2 linked regions of the Arabidopsis thaliana genome follow. The protein of the gene in region 2 purifies or fractionates together with the protein of the main gene of each other region. This does not show direct contact. Each region holds a gene or a part of one and is shown on either strand. Other genes may lie near its edges. The genes, in order: VAR2 and MET1.

Region 1 (9,337 bases), on a different chromosome or scaffold from region 2:
AAGGTACTCCCTTTAGATGATTAATACAATAAAGACAGCTCAGATCAGTCTGGTGAAATATGGGACAATGAGATAATTGCTGATGTTGATCTTTTTTAATATGAAGGATACAAATTAAGCACCACATAGTCAAACACAACCATATTCAAAAGGGCTAATAAGACCTACAATATTTAACAAGTTATGTCAACAAATCACACATACTTTTCGTCAGTTACAATTCAAGAACTTCACCAACTGTACAAGAAGATTTCAAAACTTGACAATCAATTCATGTCAATGAACAGAGAAGCATTAAAGTTAGATCATTTGGGGAGAGAAAGAGAAACTCTTACATGAAAGTGCTCCCAGCAAGCCTTTTCTCAGCTTCTCTGACACATTCCAAGACAACAGGCTTCCCATTATCATCACGATATGCTCCCTTAAAATGATTTAGCCAATTCAACACATAAGTAAAGTAAACACAGATTAGCTTCATCAAAACCAAAATAAAAGCCACCATGCAAACACCAAATCAACAATCCATGTTCATCCATAGGATTAAGACCTCAATTTTGATGTAATTTCATAGATTCGTAAGATCTTGTAGTAAGCAGGGGAAAACAGAGAGTGAGAGAAAGAGAGACTCACCACACCAACATTAACTTTTTCAGGACTAGGATCAGCGAGAAAAGCTTCGGTAACTCCGAGGATCGGATCTTTAGGAGCAGGCTCAACGCTCTTCCACCATGAAGACATAGATCTCAAACCACCGAAATGACCGGAGATCGGAGTCATTCCTCGCTTCGAAGCTGCGTTTCGGATCATCATCGCCAAAGCCATAACTCTATCTCTCTATCTCTCTCTGTTTCTATCTCTTAACGTCAAAAAATCAGAAAAAGAGAGTGGTAAGGAGTTTATATATAGAGAGAGAAGTAGCGACTCGTACGAAGTTTTTGGCAGATGAGGACGAAGGAGAGTCGCACAAGTTGCTTAGAAAATGGCCTTGGTCTGTGTGTGTGTGAGAGATAAGGTTTGATTTTAATAAAATAAGCTTTACTCTAATGATAAATACTATAAAAAGTAATAAATGTTGCTTGGCTCTATGTGTCTGATTTATTTCCCTTTTAGTTAGTCTTCCAACACCTGAATCTAGTAATAAAACATTTATATTTATTTTAGAATCTTACATGTTTATGGTAGTTAATTTTTTAATTTTGACTGTTTTATCATATTATTTGTAACTTGAGTCAATTATAACAAGATGATTTCATTAGAATGTTTTGTGAACTTAAGTGCTTCCAACTTAATTATGTTTTGTGAACTTTACAACAAAATTATCAGAAAATCTCAAAAAAGTAAAGGAAGTTACGGGCCAGCCAATGGGCCTCTAAGGAAGTGCGGTATAAAAAGTTAATGCTATTGCGTAGGACCTCTCTTTTTTTACTTTTCCTTTCAGCATTTTATTACTACAGTACGCTTTTCACTATTTCAGCTTCGACGAGGTTTGTTTGTGAAGCGTGTGAAGGAAATGATTTCAATGGAGGAGAAGAACACATACGGCAAAAGAAAGACTGTTCCTCTGATTCCGGCTAACTACATCAGCATCCTTCAGCTCCAGGAGCGTTGGCTCAATGAGAAAGAGAAGAAGCGAAAGGAAGAAGAAGAGAGACGACGGAAACTACAGGCTGAGGAAGAGAAAAAGATAGAGGAAGAAGATCTGAAGAAAGCGGAGGAGGAGAAGCGTATGAATCGAAGTAATCGGAAGCATTTTGGGAGAAAAAAGGAATCTATAGACGGCGGAGAAGCACGATTCGTTGAGAAGGAGAAACCGGAAGTCACGGTGGCGATCGAGAGCGGTGGAGGTGAAGATGCGGCGGATGGATTACCGAAGAAGAAGAAGAAGAAGAATAAGGGAGCTTGGAGGAAACGATATAATAGCAAGACGAATAAAAATCAAGATGGAGCTGTGGTTGAGGATGTCATCGATTGCGGTTGTGTATCATCAATCGTGCCGCCTGAGTCCGTCGTGACGGAGAATAATACTCCGGTGAAAGATGTGGTTCCAGTTTATTGGATGAAAGCGACCAAATCTAAAGAGATTACCAAATCAATGGCCATAGAAACACAGTTTGAGAACTTCTCTATCAATAGAGGAGAAGCCAAAACTCTCAAGACACAAACCAAATGGAGATATCGTAATCGGCCAATGCCGAGAGGAGCTTCTTCTTCTACAATGGTGTGGGTGAAGAAAGAGCAGAACGAGAGAGCTGGTGATGGAATTGCAAGTGGCGTGAAGCCATTTAATGCGTAACGTTTCCTTTAAGGTTTGATAAATGTTGCTTCTTTACGGTTTCTATTTACTGATTTGGAATCAAACATTGATCTTTTAGAATATTTTGGTTTCAGGTTTTCTGCTTAGCTCTGGAATGCTACTATTCTTGGATGTTCATTGAACAGAGAGATGATGATGGTGTTGGATTAAAGACTCTGAAGCATTAGGGACTAATGGTTTGAGGTTAATTGTAAGCAAATGTACATAAGTTTGTAAGTATAAAGAACATGATTCCATAACAGTTTTTGGTGTTCTGCTTGTGCTACTTGAAAATACTTTTGAATTTCGGTTTGAGTGTTGCAAATCTGGACAATATCATAAACAAGCCTACAAATTCAATTTTTTAAACATTTACTTGTTACTAAATTTTGAGATAGTATCACATTTCTAGAGTGTAAGTTTGAAGATAAATTTACAGAAAAATTATAAGTATCACAAGTATACAGATTGATTACTTAGACAGCAGCTGGTGTTGGTGCTGATGCTGGAGTTGTCGTTGTTGAAGAAGGAACTCGGTTTTCCGGGGGGATCTCAGTAAACTCGGAAAGAATTGCCCTGAATTCGTCACCGCCAATAGTTTCTTTCTCGAGAAGCACTTCAACGAGCTTATCCATGGCTTCACGATTGTTCTTTATGTGGCTTAGAGCTATCTCATATGCACTGTCTGATAGTTTCTTCACCGCAGAATCAATGTCTTCTGCAAGCTTCTCAGACATGGAGTTTCTTGCCATCATTCTCATGATGACATCGCTTTGTGCCGAAGAATCCATCAAAGACCATGGTCCAATATCAGACATTCCAAATGTTGTTACCATCTGCAAAGTAAAAATATTCAACAGTCTCAAACACTCAGTTTCATCAACTAGTAAAAGATCAAACTTATCATCAGGCTCCAGCATAACTAATGTGAAGCTGAACGTGTCGCGTACCTGTCTAGCCAAACCGGTGATCTGTTGTAAGTCACCAACTGCGCCAGTAGTCACCTCGGAATCACCAAAGATGATTTCTTCAGCGGCCCTACCACCGAGTCCACCAACAATTCTTGCAAAGAGTTGCTGCTTGGAGATGAGTGTCGGGTCATCTGATGGAATGAACCAAGTCAGACCTCTTGCTTGGCCTCTTGGTATCAACGTTACCTTTTGCACAGCATCATGTCCTGGAGTCAATGTTCTGTAAAAAACCAAAGTTTATAACTTTAAAGTAAGTTTTTGATAGTAATAATATACAGACAGGCTTTTAATATGTTTCTCACTTACCCACACACTGCATGACCAACTTCATGGTAAGCTACCAAGCTTTTGCTCTTGCCATCGGTCATCACTGTTCCTTCCATGCCAGCAACGATTCTATCAATGGAGTCATCAATCTCTTTAGATGATATCGATGTCCGTGCTCGCCTTCCGGCCAATATAGCAGCCTCATTCAAGAGGTTAGCGAGATCTGCTCCGCTAAATCCAGGTGTTCTCATTGCTATTATTTCAAGTGAAACATCATTGTCGAACTTCTTATTGCCGGCATGAACCTTGAGAATATCTGTTCTCCCCTTAACGTCAGGAACGTCAACACTTACCTGCACCAGAAATTATAAGTAAGCACAAGCTCTAGGAGTAGTACAGGATTACAAAACATATCAATGTGTAATAATCAGATAGTACCTGCCGGTCAAACCGTCCTGGCCTCAACAAAGCAGAGTCAAGAATGTCTGCTCTATTGGTTGCAGCAACTACGATAACACCAGTGTTACCTTCAAAACCATCCATCTCAGTTAGGAGCTGATTGAGGGTCTGTTCTCTTTCATCATTACCTCCACCAATTCCGGTTCCTCTTTGCCTACCAACAGCATCTATTTCATCTACAAAGACAATGCAAGGAGCGTTCTCCTTGGCTTTCTTGAAAAGATCACGGACTCTCGAGGCACCAACACCGACAAACATCTCAACAAACTCAGAACCAGAGATGGAGAAGAAAGGCACACCAGCTTCACCAGCAATGGCTTTTGCCAAAAGGGTTTTCCCGGTACCAGGAGGACCAATAAGAAGAACACCTTTCGGGATCTTGGCACCAACCGCAGTGAATCTCTCAGGTTTCTTCAAAAACTCCACCACTTCCATGAAATCTTGCTTTGCTTCATCAACTCCAGCAACATCATCAAATGTTACACCAGTGTTAGGTTCCATTTGGAACTTTGCTTTGGACTGACCAAACTGAAGTGGGTTACCAGGACCACCAGGTCCACCCATTCCACCACCAGACCGTCTCGAAAGAAGGAACAAACCACCAATCAAAAGCGCCGGGAAAGCAAGATTACCAATCAAGTTGAATAACACAGAACCTTGATCTTCCTGAGCATTATGTGCTGCAAAATCAATATTCTTAGCCCTAAGCTTCTGTAGAAGCTCTTGACTTAAACCCGGTAGCTGAACACGTACTCTCTCAACCCGGTTACCCAATTCAGGAGAAACAGCTTCCACAATAGCTATAGTCCCATTCTCATACAAATCAACTTTATTCACCCTATCCTTATCCAAGTACTCTAGAAACCTAGAATACGACATCCTCGACGAAGAAACACCTTGTTCATCAGCATTTGCTTTCCCACTTGCAACCAAACCGACCCCAGCATTTCCTAACAAGATTTTGAGAAAATCTCTTCTTCCTTCTTGCTTCTTCTTCCCATCCAAAGAAGCCTTCACTACATTAACCTTAGATGTCCTAATCACTGAAGAAAAGCTTGTCTGTCTGCCGGAAAAATGTTTACTTAACCTCTGTTTGGTTGTTGTGTTCACTGACAAACCATTTCCCACAAGACAAGCTGATGAAGCTGCCATCTGAAAATTCATCAAAGAAGAAAAATTAATTAGATGATATATCAAATCCCATGAACGATGAGACAGAACAAGCAAGTTTCTTACAAGTACAAGAACCTAACCCTCAGATCAAAGGAACAGTAAACATACTTCGAGTTCTTAATTCAGTGAATTAGAAATCAAGGAACTAAAACTAACACAAAGCGACGAAATCAGAATTTGCCGAAGAAAACCCAGTCAGAGTTATGCAGCGACGGAGATTATAAAAGAATCTAACCAAAGAGAAGAGGTAGAAGACAAACCTGTATCGATTACAGATGAGAGTTGTATAGGGAAGGAGAATCTCGAGCTCTGCAAATATGGAGGATGGAGAGAAAGAGAGGAGAATAGTGCAAGGGACTTGGAGATTTTTTTTTAAGGGAACAGATGTGGTTCGTGAAGAACTTACGTGTCCTTCATTGAGTGGTTTAATTTAATTACCCGAATCTAACCAAAAACTGAATTGGTATCCAAACCAAAATTGGTTTACTCGACGATTTTCAATTACTGTACATATGAATTTCTCTGTTATGTTATGTATTCTCTTGCAATTTGTATATTACACATTTTATTTTATTTTTGTAGTACTCTCAGAGCAACCACATTGGTTAGTTTCTAAGTAAGGTTTCTATGTATTTTTTATTAATTAATTTTGATATTTTTGTAGTTTAGAGATTTTGTAGAGTTTTTGAAAAATTTTTGGTCCATTAAAAAAATCCTTAAGTGAGTTTCTAATAAAACTAAAAAAAAATTTTGAAAAAAATGTGAAAGTGTTTGGGATACATTTGACTCTCAAAACTTGACACAGACTCTACGCTCTCAAAACTTGATACACTCACAAAATTCGACACACAAACTCAAGTGCATCTTCACACGACCATAGCCTATACACTTATACACAGAACAGAACAACACTTGCATGTGCTTGCTATTTATGCTTCCTTGAACTCTTGCATCTCGACAGGGACATCATCCTTAAAACGAAGTTGAAATTCATTTAGAACAGAACACAAACCAATCTATTGAAGTTTGAACACGAACACAAACCAATTAGAACAGAGCACAATGAAACCAATTTAGAACAGAACACAAACAACTTAAGATAATAAGATTCATAACCGAACAGAACAAAAACAAGTGAAGAAGCATTAACCGACACAAAAAGACTAACTTTCAAGACATAAAAGGCACCATTCAAGCATTTGACAACATGTCAGTGATAAGTTTGTTCTTTAAAGCCATTTCAAGATCACTAAGCGGCCCTGTAAGGTATGTAAAAGTATATAGAAGATGACACAAAGTAACATAAAGACAGAATAACAAACAAGATCTGTCATTCTACAGTTGGTTTCAATCGCGTGCTTACAAGTTTGAACCTCAATAGAAAAAGCTAAACAAAAATCAACTTGAAAGATTTTTAACTGACATTAGAAATTGTTATTACCATTTAATTGCAGAAACAAGTAGAGTGAGAAAAGTATTGTTCCAAGCTCAAGAACTTAAAGAATGTAGTCTGCAATTCTACATACACCTGAAAATGACAGCTCTCAAGATTTCAGTAAGAGTACAAATGCTTAACGGTCAATACAACAATCAAACTACTCTTCAACGTTTAGATGAGAAAGAAACACTTAACAGTAATGTGTCACATAAGGACCATATAACCGAAAATAATGGCATATGGACCAATTGTTCATCAAAAGCCATAAAAGAAATGCATAAACCAATCTAATAATATTCTAGTTACTAGTCTCTATACTTACTAAGCACTATAAAAAACAGAGGCTTTTCCATGAGAATTGCAATTCTTCTTCGATAGCAGAAGCATGGTCATGTTCATGTGAATAAACGTATAAACCTTAACATACTTTATGCAGATATTCTATAATTTCTTAAACAACAGAAGTTTAAAACAATGCGTAGAGAACACCACAATTCCAAACAATGCGTAGAGAAAAGGCTATAATTGTTGTGAAAGTTAAGCAAGTTATTGTATGATCGATCAATGACAAGAGAGACACTCACCGGAATTCTATCTGGATACTTCTCTTTAATCCAAGCAGCCTCCACCCTACTCTTTTCTGAAGCTTTTTGCCACTCCTTTCGATTTGGTTCGAAGAATCAATTTAGTGAACAACCTCGTCGTCGATCATCATCCCGGCGGTTGAAAATTGAGTACATAGCGGTTGAAAATTGAGTACATGTGGCTCTTGTCTCCCGATTTCATGGTCGATACGCCGAAGTTTGTAATCGAAAGGGATCGATTGGAATCACCTAATTTTCGTCGGAGAACCAAAAGAAAAGAGAAAGGACAAGAGGAAAGAGAAACACGCTTTTTTCTTTTTTGTTTTTTTTGTCTAAATTTTCATCCTATCATTTCTAGCCACGTCACTGTTTCTAAACACTTCAGAAAATCCTAAAAATCCTAAAATAGGAACGATCCTAACAATTTTATTGGGTTTTCCTTTATTTTTGGACTTTTATTCTTTAGGATTTTAGATTAGAAACCCATTAGAAACACTGATGGACATGGTCTCTTACTAACAGTACCGAGAAAACACCTGGAAACTTTGAGGTTATGGACTCTAAACATCAAAAGATGCAAGTAATATGGTTTGGCCCTGTGTCAAAAATTTGAAGTGGAGGAAATAGAATCGAACAAAGGATGTCCATTCCAAAATAACCATAGGAATAAATGATCTATGAACAGTTTACATGATCAGGAATCGTGGCAAAGAAGGAGGTGCAAGCAAAGCAGAACATAGGAGTTTGTTGGCGCAAGTCTCAGATAACCATGTGGGTTTCACGATTCCATGGCGTGATGATTATGACCTGGTTTCATGAAAGATGCCTGTGGAATAAGAAGGATTTAACATAATTAAGCAGTGCATAACAACGCAAGAGGCTTATCAAGAAAGTGATTTCAAATGTTTCTTCTGAGCATACTTAACACACAACCTAAGTTCAAATCCCCAAAGAATCTGTTTGAAGTCGCTCTGCTCTGTGTTAAGAGAATTGAATGCATAAGATAGAGCAAACTCTAGCAACCCTCTAAATCCGTTATAAGCACAGAGATCAAAGGAACATAACATTCAATGTAGTTCATTAACAATCGGATGATATAGAATATCAAATGTGATGTAAAATCCACAAACCCTCTTGATATCTTTAATCAATAGAACATAGATACATATACACACACTAACTAGAGATAGAAACTAGTAAAACATATAAGCAAAACAAGGATTTGAGATGGTGACAAAACCCAAACCTAAATCAAACTAAAGCTATACATTAAGACCATTAAAGTTACCTCTTGCAAAGCTCGGAAAAGTAACGAGATCCATTGTACAGAATAAACCACATCAAGATTAACACTAAAGAATCTGAAAGAAAAAAACAGAGTTAAGGAAAATGGCAAGAGCTCTGGTTTTTGTTTTTGCTGGACAAAACTTGTAAATTTGAAACTTCATAGACATTGTCAAATCCAGAATAGAATCTCAAAAAATTAAACTTTTCTAACAAAAGATAACGCAGCTAAAGAAGCTGAACAAATAAAAATTCAACCTTTTAACCGAATAAGATAAGATTCGCAACAACAAAAAAAGTTCAAATAGATCAAAGAGAAAAGGATACTGAATAGGTATCGTTCCCACCAATCGAGCATGTAAAGCCCGAAGGTGACGTTGTAAAGGTAGATTTTTCGTTGAACCCAGTTCATATCTAGTCGAATCCGATTCGACGGTCGGAAACACCCAGTTTCAAGTTTTCGAAATTTACCCAGTAAGAGTCAGTCGGAGATCGTAACTTACAGAGAGATTCGATGATTTAAAAGTCCTTGAAGCTGAAGATCTTCGTGAGGAGAGATTGTTTGGTGATCTTCAGAGCACTTATAAAATCCCGGTTTACTCGTCTACCGGTTATTGTAACTCACCGATTTTATAAATTGGTCAAAAAGTTGTGTTCGTAACATAGAATTAATGAAACGCAAAAAAACTTGTAAAAGATAATTTTCCAAAAAGAAAAACAACAGTGGAAATTTAAGTAAAAGAAGGGTCAAAGTAATAAATTTGTAACTTCATTATACTATCCCTAGTTTTTATTGTTATTCAAGTTCCTTGGAAACCAAGATTGTGAAAATCGTTGTTTCTATTTTATCAGTGTTCCTATACAGATT
Region 2 (11,923 bases):
TTTTGTTTTATTTTAGTACAGATTCTAGTTTAATCATTTATTTTTCGGGTGCGCATTCTTTAAGATTGAGTTTGAATGTATTTGGGAATGGACTAACCGAAAAAGAAGGTGGAAAGTGACAAGAGAGTAAAGACTGAAGAGAGTATTAAATCAAGCAAAGCACCTTTACTCTTGGAACCCCTAACCGATGTCTAACAACAAATATCCTAGTTTCTCGATATCCAAATCCACTACTTTCAGTTTCATGGTTTTTTATCTTCTTCTTCTTCCACTAATAAATCAATGTAACTATATTACTTCAGGGAACCACTAATAATATAAACTTTTTTGATAAAAGTATTATTTAACTTAAAAGAATAAAAGAACCATTTAATACAAAGTTCTAGCATCCTGAATTTTAACCTAGTTCTTGTATTAAAGAACCACTCGTTTGGAGTAAAGTGTCATATGCTTTTTGTGAAAGTCATCTCAAATTCTTAATGGTTATTACATAAACATAGTAAATGTGTGGAAGAATAAATGATGAGAAGGACCCATGCAAATTCCTTGGTAGTATTAAATGTTCAATGGATCTTAAGATTTTCAAAACAAAAGATATAGTATTACTTTTCCGTTTCTAGTGGGTCATATATACAAAAGCAAAACAAAACAAAAATCGTCAAAATTACGACAATGTTTTGTATAATAAGAAACCATACCCATGTGATTGGTTACAGAATACAATTCTAACTTTTTATTATTTTTAAATACGGATCTCCATTTTTTTTTTTAAATAGCTTGAAAGTATTTGGGATATAGATTATAGACTAACCGAAAAGAAGGTAGAAAGAGACAAGAGAGTGAAGAAGCATTGAATCAACCAAAACACTAACACTAGAACACCTTTTCTCTTGAAACACTAAAAACTAAAGTCACTTCACCAATGTCTAACAAGAGCATATCTCCAATTTTCCCAATGCTCCAATCTCAACATTTTAGCGATTATGGCTTCGATCCCCAGATCCATTACTTTCAGGTTCTCTTCTTCTTCTTCTTCCACATTGTTCCTAGGGTTTCGATATAAAGCTAACTCTGTTTTTTTTTGTTTTTGTATATCTTAAGGTTTTGGAAGAAGCAAAGAAACACAAGTCTTCCTCCATTGACACATTTCAGTTCAAACTTCAAAAACCTATCTCGAAAGACGATTTGATCCGAACCACTCTCCACAACAAGAACAAGAACAAGAAGCGTTGGTTATGGTGCAAGAACGCTTTGTTCTTCTTTAAGTGGCGGAAATGGCCAATCTCCTCTGCCGTCGTTGGAAGATGCTCCGGCGAAAACGACGGAGACAATGAGTTCGACGATCGTAGCGATGTTCATTTTGCTAGAGCTAGAAATTTTCGAGCTGGTTCGATATCAGGTCCGGTTTACGTGACAGAGAGTTGGAGCGGTTCGAGTACACCATACCGGCCGATGACTACGACGTCGGCAGTTCAGTATTTGAGTCTACGGGAGCTTAATATGGAGCGACAGCAGAGGATCACTACCTCTTCTTCTATGTCCGGTCCAATTTACTTGGTCACGTGAATAAAAACATCAATTTGCAGAATTATCCTTTTATAGGATCAAAAAAGGAAAAAGAAATTAATAAGATTTGTTTTGGGAGGTGTGGAAGATAAGTTTAGATTTGGTTTGTGGGCCTAATGGGCCCAATTGTTTTATAGGATATGATGAGTCCATTACATAAGTGTGACTGGGTAGCTTAAGGTAATAATAACCAGCTCCCGTTATTTGTTGTTTCTTTCCGTTGGTTGATGCGAGATAATTATAAACTGTTTTAGGTGTTTTTTATTTACCTAATTTTTATAATATTGAAGTTTATATTATTATTAACTGTTGTACAGTGCATTTTTCAAGAGTCTAAAATTGATAGATGACTGAAACCTTTACATGTTCTGGACAAACTTTATTTCGACGCAATATCATTGAAACTGTCTCTCATATCTTTAAATTTTCGACGCAATATTATTTCAACCCAATTCACAAGGCAAATAAATCATAGTCTATAGACATCATTGCTTGCTTGTATAATGAGATTTTTCAATCCGAATACGGAATATACAAAAACTCTTCGTAGGCTTTCTTTATCAAAAGTATCAGCACCAATGAGTTTCATTCAAGACAAGGATCATAATGACTAATATTATTGAAAAAGGAAATGCCAAATTTGGGTGGTTATCTAGGGTTGGTGTTGAGGAGACTTCTTGAGATGTAGGGCTTCTTTGAGCTTACGACCTAGAGCAAATGCCAATGGTGGAGGGACTGCATTCCCAATCTGCCTGTGCTTGTGATTTATGTTCCCTGCAAACTCGTAGCTATCCGGAAACCCCTGCAGTTTTCATTAACAACAATTTCGCTTAAAAGGCCATATCGATAAAGCTAACATTACTACTCTATCTCCCAAAACCATTCAGTGCTTTGCAATCTCTAAGTCTGTAACTGATGCTATAGGACTGACTGGGAACAGAAGAGTTTTTCTTACCTGAGATCGGGCGCATTCACGGACTGTAAGGATTCTGTGCTGTTCAGGATGAAAGCACATTCCAACCTTACCCATGGGCTGAGGATCCGTGACGGAAGTCGGAAAGTTTCCTTGCCAATCTAATCTCCCATATAGTCCCTTCCAACCGTTGTGGCGCTCAGCTGTGTTTGGGAGACAAAAAGGAATCATTTCTTCTACGCGCCCATCAGATAACGTAACCTGTGATATTAAAACAAAGCGATTTGGGTTGATTTCTAGTTTCAAAAGCAATTCTTTTGACCGTAGTCAACCTGACAAAGGTATTCCTGAGGTAGGATGTATAAGACTGACCTTTCTCTTTGGCAAGTCATGCCAATCAGCCCCAGGCCTAGTTGGGATTAATTTGCATCGAATGAGGTTAAGCTCATTCATAGCCTTGCAGATATGATCAGTGAGAGCAATCGTGTTTCCTCTTATCTCCTTTTGGAACCACGAGACTGCAACCTCTTTATACTGCAAGAAACAAGAATTTCCCCCACATAAATTAATAAATTAATGGGTTCACGTCATTTGTGTTTAGCAAATATGTATGTATAGATATTTTCTCCAGATGTGTTATCATACCTCTTTGTTTGTCCTAGAGTCTCCGTTTTCTACTGATGGAAGATCACCAATTGTGTCTCTCACGGTGATTGGACGGAAAGGGGCACCAAGTGCAGTACTACGAACAGCAGCATAATGTAAACCTTGAGATAGTGAGATTTTCAACTTTGGAACACCAAAGACATGCATCGGCTCAGGCCATTCAGGGAGAACTTCTTCTGGTGCAGCAGCCCAAATGAAAGCTCGTTTACGAGATTGGGATACTCCATATGCACCGGCCTCCAGGATTCCAAATCTCACCTGGGAAACATCATAGAAACATCATATTTAAGAGATTTAAGTCAATTTTTGTACTTCGCAAACCATTCTTCACAGAGCATGCCAACTTCTACTAAAGAGAAATCAATTTAACAAAAGCGTTAGGACTTTACCTGGTAACCCATTTCGAGAAGGGAAGCCAAAGTAAGCTGAAATGTCTGCCCTTTATTGAATGACACAAAGGTCCTCACGTTCTCCAGAAGAAAATACCTTGGCCGGAAATAGTCAGCAAAGGACAAGAATGCTAATATCATTTCACACTGAACTTTACTCCAAGAGCTTTGGTTGAACCTGTTCATACCAGAAAATCCCTGCCAAATTGCACAGGTTAAGGGCTTTTCACTTATTCAACGAAAAATTTACACAAGTATAGCCACAATCTGAAATATATACCTGACATGGAGGTCCACCATTGATGAAGTCCACTTGACCAGGCAGTGGCAGAGTACTCTTCTGCTCCTCAGTTAGTTTAGCTGCTAATTCATTTGCCTCTGTAGTAGAGACACAATCATCTTGATCTCCACCTTTCTCCATTATAGCCCTGCAATTAATCACAACAACTGATCACAATGCAAAAAATAGCCACACTAAAAGAGTAAGCGATAACTTGTTGGCTATTTACCTAAGAATCACATTGCAGTTGTCAACAAAAACTGTTGACTCAGGATGGTTTTGTTTAAAAGCCTGCCCAGCTGGCTCTTCATACTCAATCGCCCACTTTGCATCAGATACACCTTTTACATATAGCATGAATATTAATACAACTTATTCAAGCATTTTGGAAGATTAAGAGTTGACTGGATATAATACATACCCGCCTTTTTCAGTCCATGAGACAGGCCACCACAACCAGCAAAAATATCTAGAGTAGCCAGACGAATCTCTTTAGGTGGCTCAACAGGCTTGACAATCTCAGACTCAATTTCACTCTCTACTCCCTTTCCCTTTTTCTTTCTTAAAAGTGTGTCGTCCTTAATAGTAGAGAACTTTGGCTTCATATTGGCGGGCAGCTGTTACAAGACAGTATAGAGAAAAAGTTCAACTTTGTATCAGAACAACAATAATCATAACATATAAATCCTAGACACAACTATATGAATTCCTTAAGAAACTAGGTACACAAATAATTGACAAATACGAAGTGAAGAGAGGTATATACCTGCTTGAGAGAACCTTTGGAGGTGTCAAAGAAAAGATCACAGAAGAAAATATGGTCTGATATTGGATATTCACGGGATAAGGGCATATCACTTTTCTTTCTTACTTCACATTTTCCCTCTAGAGCACCTGGAGGGAGAACAACTGTGTCCTGGCTGAAATACAACTTAAGAAATTGCAAAAAGAAAGAAAAAAGATTGTCAGATAAACTTATGAAGAAACCTCACCACTGAACACATTACCAGATATAAAAAATAGTTCTTACTTCTTGGATGTCTGAAGCATAGGCCTTCTCTGCAGAAACATCCTCAGGCCTATAAAACCTTCTCACTTTAACATCAAAGGAACCCAAATCAGCCTTTCTAGATTCCTTTGGAACAATTTCCAGCAATTGGCAAACAACATACGCTCTTAACCCAATGTTTCGCCCAGACTTAAAAGAAGTTTTACTACCCTCCTTCAACCCACCAATAGAGTCAGGGTTGACATAGACAAAATCCTCAACAGAATACTCAATCCCATTGATGAAAAAGCCTGTCTTTGAAACATTTAGTTTAATTGTAGACCTCTTCTCTTCATCCTCCCTTATCTTACATGAAGTGCAGAACCCAGAACTGCGACCAATATCACTTAGTGGAAGACTAAAGAATCCCCCTCTCTCAGGTGAGTACAAGCTTTTGCAGTAATACTCTGTTGGCAAATCTTTTACTTTTCTTTCTAATGCTCTAGCCCAGTCAAGCTTATCCGCAGTGATGTTCTTTTTCCTATACTGATGCCCCCATGGCCTTGATCGAATCTCAAAACTGGCTACTCCTTTAATGTCCTTGAGCTGTGTAGTCATGCATTCATTAGTCAGGAATAGTTCCCTCTCGTTAGCAGCATTCCCCAGAACAGTCATAGATCCTCTTTGTAAGAATCTACCATGTAACATTTTGCAGTGATCTGTACTTTCGAACATGTACTCCACAAAATAGATGGCCGGCATTTCATCTGGATCATCAACTTCCAAGGTGACAGCGCCACCTACAGCCACCATTTCCCCTCCAACAAGGGCTTGTTGATAGAGAGGCTCGCCAGCAGAAGTTTTTCCTAGACTCTCACCATCCCATTTTATTTCCCTTTTTCCAGAACTGCCTCGGATTTTCTTAGGAGTATGAGGCTTCTGAACCTCAACAGGTTCTGGTACAGTGTCCTCTGTGAGACCATTTTCACCTTCCTCTTCAACCTCTTCCTCCCCATTTCCGCCTTCCTCTTCCACCTCATCCTCCCCATTTTCTGCAGCAGTCGCCTGCAATGGATCCTCTGGAGAGTAATTGGAGTAAAACTCTCCCCAAATTCTGTTGACCAGGCGAGTTGTTGTTGCTTGCATAGCTTTCCTCTTCGATGCTACTGGTGCCATGCCTGCCCTTGGATTCAGATTCAGTTCCTTCAGCGAAATTTTCTTCTTCTTGATGATCCATTTTGTGTGGTGCCTATCCTCCAATTTGCTTGCAAGACCAACAACAAATGGACACCTTTTGACATTGTCGTCCGGATAAACTGCAAAAAGCTGTAAAATAATTTGCCCATGGACGACCAAATATCTCTCAACAGCCAAGGGGTCAGAAGAAATGTAAGCTTTATCATTCGCCTGTAACCCAGACAGTCTTTTTGTGACATCTGCAAATGAAAGCCTAGCAACCCTACTTTCCACCCTAAGAAAAGTAAGAATGCTTATCCCAACCCTTGCTGTTTTCAGAACAGGTTTCCACCAAGGGGCATAAAGTTTTGATGGTTTCCCAAGACGGTACCTGTATATACCTTATACATCAGCAACAGAAGAAAAAACAGACGTAGAAACATGCGAGTACAAAATACTAGGATAGTAAGCTTACCAGGCCACATCTGTTCGTATAGAAATGGAGATAATATCATCGCTCCCAAACTCAATCATCCATTCTTTAATTTGACTGAGGAATATGCACATCCCATCAGGATCGTGTGACTGAGAACCGCTGTCAGGATCGTTTAAAGAAATCCAACTTCCATTATCATCAGTCACCACACCTGACCCAAAAATGTTGACATCAATATCATCACATTGTTTCATCGGTAGAAGTTCCAGTGATATGAATCGTAAATCAGAGTTATAAAGAGCCCAGTTGTGAAGCATCCTGTGAGGCAGGTGTTCAGATTGAACCTCATAGGAAGCATCATAAAGTATAAGTTCATCTGTTTCTTCTTCGGAGGTCTTATAGTACGATGGGAGAGGATAATCATTGGCAATCTCATCTTCATTTATCTTAATGTAGAACATATTTGAAGCAGAACCTGAGCTGCTGTTTTTTCTGGGCTGTTGCATAGATTTCCTATTCTCTTCGTCTTGTAAGAGTATAGCATATCTTCTGTCATCATCAGTACCATCAACCAGTTGATCAGATGTCAAGGCCTCGCTCTCCGCAACTTGAGAAACTTCTTTAATCCTCACACCATTAGATGGGTTTCTTTCCCTCTGCAGAGGCTTGTCAATCTTACTACTCTTCTCTCTGAGAGCTACAAGAACAGGAATCTCAACATAGCTTGATTCATGTTTCTTGGCTGTCTCATCCAAACCAGCGAGTTGGTTATATATAAAATCTCCCTGGGATATAACAAAATCGATGATTGCCGCACCACTAGAAAAGTACTTGCTTCCACTGCTCATTGATCTGACAACCGCCGCAAGTAACTCCTCAAGACCTATATCAGGATCCCCACCAGATGACTTGGACAATTTCTTATACACAGCCACTGAAGCACGAGCTTTCTCATAGAAGTAATCATAAACCTTCCTGTAGCTAGCAGCAGGTTTACGACAATCATAATCCGCCAATTCCGTTGAGATCCAAATAACAGGGGAACCATCTTCATAACCAGAGATACTCCAATGCTCAACCCGTCCAAACGATGTACACCTCACACCCTTCTCTTTCTCCTTATCAGTACACACATCTGAAGGTAAGATAGCACCTGAAACGAATATGTCATGAATCTCCAACATCTCCAGAGGTTGTGGAACTCCATCTGAATCAAACAAAACAAAATCATTCAGTCTCCTGGTTGGACGATCTTCAACATCAGTTTCCAGAGCCGTTAACCGTAACGCGAGAAACTCTTCCTCCACAATCTGCTGTTTCTTTACTTCAATAGTAGCAGATTTCTCACAGACTCGAATAGATTTCTCCTTGAAACTGGTACACGCTGCAGCACGCCTTGGTCTCCTCGTCCTAGGTACATCTTCTACCTCTTGAATCTCTGGAAGTGGTCTCTTCTTTCGCTTCGCAGCTTTAGCCCCATTTTCCACCATTTTCAAAATCCCTAGTTTCAAAATCAAAATTACCAACAAAATCATCACTATAACGCAATTGGACTATAAAATTTTCACACAAATCTATGTAATCGAAGCGTTCACTACATCGCATTGACTAAACCGACGCAAATAATAACAAAGCCCAGGAAAATTTCCGAGTCTAGGGTTTAACAATCACTGTAGTTAGACTGAAATCGACACAGATTATAGAGAAAAACTTACGTTGAGAAGCGAAATCTACTGGAAGATTGCGAAACCCTAATTGGTCTGAGAGATAGAGAGGTTGAAGAAAGCAGTGATGTGTGATTTGAGAGGAAGAGTGGGAGAGAGAGAGAGGGGGTAATAATAAAAGGAGACGAGACGAGGAGCGAAAACGACGCGCGGCAATAAACGGCGCTAAAAACTTTTTTAAAATGAAAACGAAATAAGAAAAAAAGCCGCGCCTGAATATTTAGGGCTACCATAAATGGCTTTTTATGATTCAATGATTTTATCTTTTGGGGAATATTCCGTATAAATAATCCTAATTTTAAGATTTTTACAGATTTGTTTCTATCTCTAATGTTTATATTCTAATATCTTTCCATCAGTCAACAGTCAAAGTATACGAGTATTATTTTGATTAAGATTTTTATTTGACTACAAAGTATAGATATTTTTTTGATAGAAAAAAGTCTGATTTTTAGACGAAATGTTGAGGGTTAACAACTTAACAATGAGATCCTCCAATAATACTTTTATGTGTGTGTTTTTTCTTATAACAAGAACAATATTTTTATTTTCAAAACTAATACTTTATCATGAAGTGTTTATCAAATGGATAATTTTAATATATATACGAAAAATCTCAAATTGGTAGGATGCCGCTATTTTAGTTAGCTCGTTAGGTTTATGATTTATAACAATATTTTTTCTTTCGAGAACTAACATTTTACCATGATCCTACTATATTATTTGGGAAGTACATTTTAAATGTAACCTTACTTTTTGTAAGTAATTACATATGTATGCCATTAGAAATAAAATTTAAAGAGTAAAGTAATTCATCTCTTTAAAAATTAAAAAGTCAAATACTAATTTAATTAATTAAATTTCATTAAAAAATGAAATACATTATTAATTTCCAAAAAATTAACCAATTAAAATCAACAAATTAGATTTAATATCTAAATTATCATATTAATTTTTTATTAATTATTATAGTTCACCTCTCATCTTTATATGATTCTATTTTTGCGAAAAAATAATATCATCGTTATAAAAAAATAATTAGAGTTTTTTCGCATATGCCATAATTTAAACTTTTAAAAACGAATATAAACTGTTCAATACATAAAAAAATATTATAACGGGTCAAAAATAGATTTAAAAAAATTTATTACTAAGTACTGGGTCATAATTTAAATATTTATATTCAATTTCATGCATATTATTTTAAGAATTTATAATCTTATATACAACAATAATTAATAACATATTAGATTTTTTTATGTGTATGATGTGATTCAATTTTTAATACAAGCTGGAAAATCCTAGAATTGACGGGTTTAAATCGATATTAATATAAGATGGTATACTACAGGTGAAACTCTAAAATTAACAATCAAAATACAAGTGTATAATTTTAAACACTAAACAATATAAATAATATCAAGAAAACATATACAACTCGCAGTTTACTATATATTTAAAATCAAATAAAATAATATCATATAATTAATATTTTGGATATTAAATTAATGTTTGGGTTTTTGAATACTCTTTTTAGATAACGGGTAATTTCCGGTCCAATCGGATATCCACGGGTTTACTAAAACTCTACCCAATAAGGAAATTTCCTAAAATTTTAACCCGCCCTAACCCGATTTTTTGGTTCGAGTATTGGGTTGGTTATCGGGTCCGTTTTTTCGTCAGCCCTATTAAAGATAATCTAATATAGGCCCCAATTAGGTCCACAAATATAACCAAAATACTATACAAAAACTAATTCTAAATTAGGCCAAAAATTAGATCCTCTAATACAAAGGAAACATGTTTCTTACCAAAATAACTTCTATACAAATTTTACACATTTACTTAAAACTACATATGTTGTATTTATTATAACAATAACATTTTTAAACAAAGTCAATCTAATGCAGCATTATATGTAAATAGTAAAACATTGAAAAATATTATGGCATCACTTTTATACTATACTATTTTTTATGTAATTCAAACAAAGTATACAATTTAATTTATACAAAATATTAATGCTCGTGCTGTATAGCACGGGTTATGATCTAGTAAATCTATTAAATGAATAATCATATGAGTTAATCAGATTTATATACATTGAAAACCTCAAATTAATATACTTATTTATCTTTCAATTTTGAGCATAGTTTGTGGGGATTTTTTTTTTTTCGCAAACTTATTTAGTTCCTTCTTATATCTTTTAATGGCATTATTAATAGAAACACAGATGACAACAACAACAAAATTCGATAATGCACGATCTACAGAGTAAAAGTTTCTATCAAGACATTAGGAAGCTCGTACAATATAAAAATTCACTACACAAAAGTCAATTTGGCCAGATTCGATTGCTCTTTATACAATCTTGTAACGTAGAGATCACCACGCTCCATCTCCACAGTCTCGGGGATCTCTCCGATCCTCTGCCAAAATAAGTAAAGGCAAACCCAAACTTAGTTTACAGAAAGGTTGTGTATATATGTGTATGGAGGGAATAAGAGAATTCTCACTCTTCGTATAGATTGAGGGAGAAAAAGTTTACCATTATAGTCATCACTAACAAAAACAACTCTAGCTACTGTGAATGGATTTTTCAACTATAATAACAAACAAGCTTAACCAACTTAGATGATGGTTCAAAGTGATTAGGTTAAGTGAAATTTTCTGTCTGTGTTGTAGAATGGTATGGTTCTCTTTAGATTCACAAAAACTAAATCAAGATATACAGTTAGTGCTTTTTTTTGTCTATTTGTGTTCTGTTTAATGCAGATATTTGTGTTCTGTTTCTATGTTTTGTATTTGTAGTTTCAAGTCCAAACTCATGTCTTTTTATAAATCTAATCGGATCATTAATCAATTTAATCTTGGTAGCTAAACCAAAAAGGTAATTATAGAATCATTGAGCATTTACAACAGAAGCATGACCAAAAAACATTCTGATGGCTCAGATTTATCAACTTCGAGCCTTATCTAGCTGGAACGGAAAAATGTTAATATCTGGAGACTACTGCTTATTCTGGTTGCCGGAAGTTTCACCTATGTGTCTTTACCAACAAACAAATACACAGAACAGATTACATTTCAACAAGCGATACTATTTTATACAATTAAACCATTTCCCCCAAAATATACCTCTGCTGCGGATGGCGATTCCAGATACTCTCAGGTAGACAACCAGTGATTGTTGTTGTTGAAAGATTTCTGTTTAACAATTCGGCATTGTCCTGCTCCAGAAGAGAGAATAACCTTTTTATGCTTGAATATAAATGGCTATAGGAAAATACAACAAGAGAGATGTGTTTTTAGTTACCGTTGGTTTCTGCAAATTCTTGTGTTGGATTCTTTTCTCGTGTACTAGTAGAAATGCGCATTTGCAAGTGAAGAACAGAAGCAAAGTAGCTAGAGAAAAGACCACGAGAGACTCCACTACAATCACAGATCCTAGAACTGCGACCAAGTGACAACACTATTAAACTATTTGAACCGGAGAAATAAGAGTGATAAGAATTAAGATATGAAACTCCTCTCTTATCACTTCTCTACCCAATATACATATGCTTATCAGAGGTGTGCCTAAGAAACAATACTAAACCAATCAAACCATTTTTTCAAGCGACACTAGAATCCAGACCACCAATCACCTAACTCTTTATTACGTGTACGTTCATATATGCATTTAATATATGATCTTCATGTTCAAAACAGATTTAGACTAAACAAAATCACACCAGATTTAACCTATCAGAACCATTAACAAACTAAAAAGCTTAATTGAAAAA

The links.
Region 1: the proteins of MET1 (region 2) and VAR2 purify together in Arabidopsis thaliana (affinity purification with mass spectrometry, with the first as the bait; one study listed by BioGRID). This does not show direct contact.

Annotation. Positions count from the first base shown.
Region 1 is NC_003071.7:13,170,497-13,179,833, reverse strand, and holds VAR2 (FtsH extracellular protease family), read right to left. Parts: upstream 5,514-9,337; 5' UTR 5,424-5,513; exon of another isoform or gene 5,315-5,423; 5' UTR 5,155-5,314; coding exon 3,970-5,154; intron 3,885-3,969; coding exon 3,571-3,884; intron 3,485-3,570; coding exon 3,244-3,484; intron 3,130-3,243; coding exon 2,770-3,129; downstream 1-2,769. Other genes in the region: ASP1 (aspartate aminotransferase 1), read right to left, coding at 1-10, 336-421, 631-822; AT2G30960 (myosin-M heavy chain-like protein), read left to right, coding at 1,511-2,293; AT2G30942 (transmembrane protein, putative (DUF3317)), read right to left, coding at 7,999-8,011, 8,474-8,546, 8,797-8,881. UniProt on the Arabidopsis thaliana protein: Part of a complex that function as an ATP-dependent zinc metallopeptidase.
Region 2 is NC_003076.8:19,928,482-19,940,404, reverse strand, and holds MET1 (methyltransferase 1), read right to left. Parts: upstream 8,292-11,923; 5' UTR 8,130-8,291; intron 7,916-8,129; 5' UTR 7,905-7,915; coding exon 6,454-7,904; intron 6,370-6,453; coding exon 4,845-6,369; intron 4,746-4,844; coding exon 4,581-4,745; intron 4,432-4,580; coding exon 4,236-4,431; intron 4,156-4,235; coding exon 4,044-4,155; intron 3,963-4,043; coding exon 3,815-3,962; intron 3,733-3,814; coding exon 3,535-3,732; intron 3,404-3,534; coding exon 3,125-3,403; intron 3,014-3,124; coding exon 2,852-3,013; intron 2,741-2,851; coding exon 2,522-2,740; intron 2,369-2,521; coding exon 2,219-2,368; 3' UTR 1,935-2,218; downstream 1-1,934. Other genes in the region: AT5G49170 (uncharacterized protein), read left to right, coding at 923-1,015, 1,102-1,566; GEX2 (gamete expressed 2), read right to left, coding at 11,149-11,188, 11,277-11,368, 11,455-11,591.